Schizosaccharomyces pombe: one gene and its partner. The protein of the gene in region 2 purifies or fractionates together with the protein of the main gene of each other region. This does not show direct contact. Each region holds a gene or a part of one and is shown on either strand. Other genes may lie near its edges.

Region 1 (3,762 bases), on a different chromosome or scaffold from region 2:
TTTCCGAAGTAGCCGTTGTTCCTTCTACCGGTTTGTGATGGCCACGTAGCATTTCTTCTGTTGCCGCAGTCGCTTTTTCAACATTTTTTCTGCTTTTGTTCTCTTGAATGTCATTAAGTTCTTTCAGCACTTCAGTTGTGTTTGTTGTAGTGCTTTCGGGAACCGGTGATGATTTGGTCGAAGTAGTGGTACTTGTTAAGTAAGAGATTCTAGGTACGATATTTTCTTCAGGGATTTGATCACGTTGAGGGCGTATGTCATAATTGATTTTCTCAACAACGGCTGCAATCTGTTGTTTCAGAATACTCGAAGATTTAACCTCTGATGAAAACCTTTCCATTCGAGGGTTAATAGGCTTTGATACGTTCTCGACATTATCAGCGCTTTCCAAAGCTAAATTAGGAAAAGACATTGGCGTCCCTTGTGTTGATCTCAATGTTGACGAAGTAAATATATCTGAAACGACCAACACTCTTTGGGCCTTCAAAAAAGCCAAAAGAACTGAAGGATTGGACCATAATTCATAAGCATTTCGAAATGATGGATCATAAAATATTTGACTTCCATACTGAATACAGAGATTAGCCACAGCTTTCCGATCACAGGTATGCTGTGATACACGGATTAACCAAGTAGGGTCAACGGCTAGTAAAGTAGCATGCGTGGTATTTGTTTCAACGTCGGTTTCCAAAGAGTCTAAACATTGTATGACAATTTGATTTAAGAAGTTTTTTTCCTCAACGGGAGTGGCCGTTTTTTTCTGTGCTTCAGTGAGAGTAGCATAGGAGTTAAAGTCCTGCACTTTTGAGGTTGAAATGCTAGCGACTGCAGAGTCTCGAACAGGGACGAACGCTGAGTTGGGAGTTAGCCGACAAATGTTTTCTTCTTTGTTGGCAAACCGCAAACTGCGGTATTGTCGGATTAGTACGGGACGCGCATAGGTTTTTCGACTACTAAGATCCTCTGCATCTATTGGAAGTCTTTCATAAGGAACTGCATTAACGGTTAGAAATTTTAATAAAAAAGAAATAAAACATCAAAAAAGAAATCGATTTTTCAAGTGACATTGTAGTAGATTTGAATTTTCAGTCATCATAATTTTTTTATACAATCATTTGCTTTACAGAAAACTGTACGGTTAAATCTCCCAAACATTTTTCCTAGGGAAATAAAAACCCAAGGGCTAAATGTTGAAATCAACCATTCAATTTCGAACAGAAACAACAAAAAATATAATTAACGACCAACGCCACAGTCTCATCCAACCACTCATGCCAAGTCATGAATAGAGTAAAATTTTATATGTTTCTTTGAGAAAATTGAATTGATATAACCTTAGAGTTATAGGCGTGCAAAATGTTTGATAAAAGATCATCAAAATTGCTATCAAGCATACGACGATCAATTGAAAATTCACAATTTTAGAAAAAGCGATAAAAATAAACTTGATTATATCTAATATTCATTCTTACCTAGAGTTAAAAGGCAGTTGTACAAACGACCTCGATCGTCATATTCAAAAATGTTGCGAACGAATGTATCAAGTTCCTCGGTCTGTAGAGGATGGAATGCACTCTGCAAAAATGAAAAGAACTCATCAATATCCGGTTTTTTTTGACACGATTTCACCATTACTCTGTGAGTTTTGAGTCATATATATTAAGTAGATCAATGTTGTCTTCAGTTATTAAGAAACAAATAGCGAGGGTATTGAAAGGAAATATATACCAAAAAAACAAATATTTTAATGAATTCAGTTAATCATGTGTCAATAAATTGTGAATTTAATCTCTATATTATTAACAAATTGATTCAAGTGCTCCGTCGACTGATTCACTGTCTGCAATACTGTTTGGTAGTTTGCAAGTTTCAACGGTAGTCGATTACTAGAACGTAAACATATACTTTACACAATCACTACATGTTAAAACACTTGAAAACAAAAATTCCAATAAGCTTTAATTTCTATTAAAATTTACATCTCTATTGTTTTGACACCAAAAGCGCTAAGGTGAAAGTATACGATAAAATGTAAGTACGGTACAAAAAATACAAAGCAATTCCTCCCGGCACTTTGAGAAGGAATTCATCCTGACGAGAGTCAGAACAAAAAAAGAGAGAGGATCGTGCTTTATTACCAGACGTTCTGATAATCATTACTGAGACATATCAGTGATGCAATCCTTAGTGCTGCAATAATAATTAAAGAATATTTCAAGGAACTAAAGGAATCTTTCTAACTTTGATTATATAAAATAATTTTAATATTCTAGTGATGAAAAGATTATTCCTCGTTCGTTTTTTGGTTTACTATTTCATTTATCACGAATAGTGCTACAACTAATATGTAAACTTTTACGTTTAATACTGATGAATCATGTGAGATGTCGATTGAAATCTTTAAAAGATATTCTTACGTATAACTAACTCTCAACTTCTTTTATAGCCACGGTTGTAATATTTCTATTACATAGGATTCATCTGCATTAGGACAGTTAATTTCAAACAAATGGATACTTCTGTAGTTTTCTGAAATGTCTTCTCGAATTTTTTACCTCTCATTTAAATGAATTATAAGAAGCTAAAGAACAATATAAATTTTTTGTGTAATTGGCAATACTACATTACAGTTAAGCCCCAAGAAGCGAGTAGAGGCACATAGTAGGGGAACTAAAGGCTCCGAAGGCCTTTACTTCAATCTTTAGGTTCATAAAATATATAACTTAAAATAACATGTCTTTTTAAATGGTAATTTATTGAATAAAACCTATTTTCAATTAACAGTGGGAGATGGGAAATTTAGTGTTTAAACATTGATTAACAATGAACTATACGAGGTAACGCAGAATATGTGTTACCCATTCAGCAAATCTTAATTGTTCATGAATCGTGGATAAGCAAGGAATATACGATCCATACATTTTTAAATACGAAGAGAATGTTAGAGAATTTCATCGATGGAAGGTCATTTTACTACTGAGAGGTAACGGTAGAATACTGCTTTTGCATTTTCCAACTTGACAGGGTTCATTCGTCAAAATCGAATATAAAGCGAAATTACAATAATAGCAAGATAGCCGTGGCATACAATTAGGTGTTATTTTATCAATTGGTGAATCTTAATACCAAATAAGAATAATGTGTATTCTGAAAGAGAGGTGCAGGAAAATGCGTATAAAGCAAGAGGAAACAGCAAAAAAAAATTATATTAATTTTGAACAACATCATTTCATCTCAAGATAAATTTGTTCCATTAGTCAATTTTTAAACATCATCAGTTTTGATAGCCCTACGGTCGGCGAATTTGCAACTTTGCATATGACACTTAAATTTAATATTTGGGATAAAAGTAAATATGGCTTGACCTCAAAAGAATGCATTTGAAAATTAACAAAATTGTATGTTTTCGGGGGGTTTTTTTTTTTTTTTTTTTTTTTTTTAAATGATCAGTGAATTTTATAAGGTATCCGATATGATTTTAACCCAGATTCAAAAACAGGAATATTATTTTATTACATTAAATTTTTGAAGCATCAAAGTCGGATATGTTTATTTTTAAACGAAATTGCTTAACAAAAGAAAATATTAAAAAAATAAAGTCTGATCATTAACAAGCTATATGATGTTTACAAAATCTACCAAAAAAAAACACATATATAAATAAAAGAGGAAGAATGAAAATTACATTTCTCGCAGTAAAAATAAAACACTAAAAGAGCTAGTGCGTACAAAACACTCCATAAATATAAAATAAATGAACAT
Region 2 (3,497 bases):
AGTTTTGAATGGTTTCTTGATGTCCCAAATCATATACACTTAGATTTTGGGTAAATATATCCTCATTAAGTTGAGCTATGAACATAGGTAACCTATAAGAGACAGTTATCTAAAACTATAGCCCTGTTTTATTTTTAAAAAAATACAATATGAATTAATCATATACGCAATCAATCCGACCCTTCAGAGCAGTAGACAAGAGTGGTTGTTGTTCCATAAAGTACAATGCGTTTATCCCAGGTAATACGATATATCTCAGCCAAAGAGAAAGAACCAACATGTGAAAAGTAATAAACTATCACTACTAAAAGTTCAAAAGATTCGTAATGTCCGCCAAAAAACTGATAGTGGCTACAAATAGAATTTGTAGAGTAATTCAAATGTCTAAATACGTTCCTTTCTAACATAATTCCTGGTAGTATTATCAAGTAATTGTTTCCAAAACATGCAAACTCTTTAAACGTAGCATTAAGTATGAAAGAAGTTACCTCCATTCGAATCAGTATGGAAAGACATGAGTTTATATATGTTTTCAAAGTGACTTCTGTTGAATGACTAGAATTTAGTAGCTAATCCCGGATAAACTATTATTAGTGTATTTCAATTAGAAAAACAAAAAAGCAAGAATTTTAATAATATAAGGCTTTACGTAAGTTTCAAGATTTATTGTAAGAAGAAACGTTTGCACTGCTCTCTGAAGAATAGGGAGAGAATTGTTTGATGTCGAGGTCTTCATTTGTGGTCTCGGTTAATTCCTCTGTCTCTGGTAGTTTACCAGAATCCGTGATTATTTGCTTTTTATCTCCTTCCTCCGATGCGTTTTCAGCTGCTAGCAATTCTTTAGCACGGCGATTCCTTAAATTGGCTCTCCGCCGGGATGCTCTAATAGGTCTCGAAGTTTTTTGCTCTTTTATAACCTCTGGAGTGAAAGGAATAAAAAAATTTGGTAATTTCATTTCCATCTTTTGATAACAGTGTTCTAAACGTAAAACATTACTATGAGTAATTGCCTCTGCATACATTGCAATGTGGGATTTTTTTCGAGTTTGTACATCATCGGATTTTAACAGTAATGATAAGTTTCGAGCGACTAAATTACGACGTTCAACACTAGTATCTCTGTTAAGAAGGTCATCAATTGAAGAAAGAGCTTGTGAATACACATCTGAACATGTTAATCATTTTAAATCAGAAAAAGGCAAGCTCTAGATAGGCAAGTTTTGATAAGAACAACATAAACTTATTATAAGCCTCAGTAGCGTTCAAGTCCTTTTGAATAACATATTCAAGGTTCAAACAAGTCCTAAGCAGATTGATTAAACATTAACAAAGAAAATCAACACCAGAACGGTTTCACTAGTAATCTTTCATTTTTTTGTTTATTATCAAAACCTTCACAGTTGTTCAAGCAAAAAATCCCAATCTATAATGCCACTATCACTTACCCTTTAGTTCAGCCTCTAAAAAACGGACTTCCGTAAAATTTTTGGATAAATCACCCGGTATAGCTTCCAATGCTAAATAATGTAAGAAAATTATTTATTTACACATGTTCATTTATTACCGTCAGCAAGTTGTATAAGAAGATCCAAGTCATTTTCCTTTTTTGGTTTTGCCATGGCTGACGACTTGTCGATTATATACAGCTATTCATGAGGATTCTTTCTAGTTTGACTTTTATTACTTGCCCAAGGTTAGCATTGCTTTTTGCTTCCTTTTGTTTACGTCTGTAATATAAGTGCAATCGAACCAAAGAATCTCGGTTTTCCACTTATAAGGCTTGCTTCAAAGCTTTTTCAAAACTTTATTTTATATAGCTGTTCTCCAAAACACACCTAGCTTCTTTTACTTGAGTATGAACTATTGTACCTAGTTGGTAGTGGTCGTTCATGAAATGCGTTAAACTAGGAAAATATCGTCCCGAAGAAATACGGGATCCTCATGGGTCAGTGATCAGTTTTTATAATAAAGTAAAAAATTCAAGTCATTTTAAAGTATGTTCATTTCAAAAGGTTGCTTGCATTTTAGTCAATGGCCAATCCGTCAGCTTAATTAAGCACATTCATGTTTTCATACGCTTGCTTGGCACCTCTGGTTCTTTTAAGAATACAAAATTATTTTTTTAGTGATGGTCCCAGTTTATTCAAAACTATCTCCTTCTAAATGGGCTGAGAATCTGAGAACTTCCTGAATGGTACCCCCAGAATATACTAAATACATGCTTGTTAATTGTTTTTTTTAAACCGACGGGAAGAAAAGGGCAGAAACAGAATACAACATAAATTGTTATTATATTATAAAATATGCGGTTCTTGGAATCATATTAAAATCTTATCCTAGAAGTATACAACGCGAGACCGACAAGTAATTGCATAGAAACATAGCTCTTAAAGAATCGATTTTGTAAGACACTTGACCAATTGTAAAAGAAAACGAATTCCTAAAATGAAAAGTTTTCAATTCAATTTTTGCATGTTCAAATTCATGTATAATTTCACCATGCAGGCTTCAAGAGTGAGTGAATATTCTATTTTAAATTAATGCTATTTTTCTAGCTGAATAAATCCATTAATAAAATTGCTCATTTTATCATTATTTATTAGGATTCATTTTAATCGTATTGATCCGTATCTATTACCAGTAATTAAAATGAAAGTTCTTACGTAGTTCATCTAAAAATTATTTATTTTTCACTTAAATTTAAAAACTTCTCAAAAATAATAAAGGATTTGGTGTTACTAACATTACAGACCTCAGGTATTCTATTTCTACTAACACCATGCCAAGTCGTTTAGAGCCATTACCAAGTATTGATGTTTAATGCATGTATTACTACTTAGAAATTGAATGTGAGTCTCCTGTAAAAGATATTTTTACCTGTAATAAAAGGAGAGCATCTAAAGTTGTTGGTAATTCTTTTGGAGGCGATCATTTTAATTTTCGATTGGGTGAAATAAAGTTATTATCAATGGATTTTCCATCTTCTAAAGTTCCTGAGGTTGAGGAGACATCTCTTGGACATGGCGTCGTTCATTTATACAGGGTATTTCCTTCAGAAAGCCATGAATTTGATGCGCCAGGTCTAATCCTTGCGATATTGGCAATTCCCTTATATATGTCGCCCTCCGATGTATTGGGTTTTTTGGGAGAGAAACATTGCAAGTCAATCCAGCATATACGTCTTCTTAAGACGAAAGATCCAAATCGGATCATGGCGCTGTTGAAATTCAAGGATCAAGCAAGTGTTATTAGGTTCTATACAGAGTTCAATGGCAAAGCTTTTAGCCAAATAGATCCTGAAACTTGCCACGTTTTACATATTGACAAAGTAAATATAAAATATCCAATGGAGAGCTCTGATTCTTCTTCAACTGAGCAGCAACTAGTAGGCCCTTCCTCCAAACCTTTTGCTTCTACGACTCCTGCCCTTATCGAGCTTCCTACATGCGTTGTATGTTTAGAACGTATGGATTCTTCAATTACTGGTTTAATTACCA

Evidence for each region. Proteins that work in one complex are often made in the same cells at the same time.
Region 1: the proteins of png3 (region 2) and nts1 purify together in Schizosaccharomyces pombe (affinity purification with western blotting; one study listed by BioGRID). This does not show direct contact.

What each region holds. Positions count from the first base shown.
Region 1 is NC_003421.2:933,292-937,053, forward strand, and holds the start of nts1 (protein Nts1), read right to left. Parts: upstream 1,865-3,762; 5' UTR 1,633-1,864; coding exon 1,473-1,632; exon of another isoform or gene 1,404-1,472; intron 994-1,403; coding exon 1-993.
Region 2 is NC_003424.3:3,522,480-3,525,976, forward strand, and holds png3 (protein Png3), read right to left. Parts: upstream 1,886-3,497; 5' UTR 1,726-1,885; exon of another isoform or gene 1,684-1,725; 5' UTR 1,620-1,683; coding exon 1,565-1,619; exon of another isoform or gene 1,518-1,564; coding exon 1,446-1,517; intron 1,166-1,445; coding exon 657-1,165; downstream 1-656. Other genes in the region: SPOM_SPAC16E8.18 (uncharacterized protein), read right to left, coding at 171-494; SPOM_SPAC16E8.13 (ubiquitin-protein ligase E3), read left to right, coding at 2,825-3,497.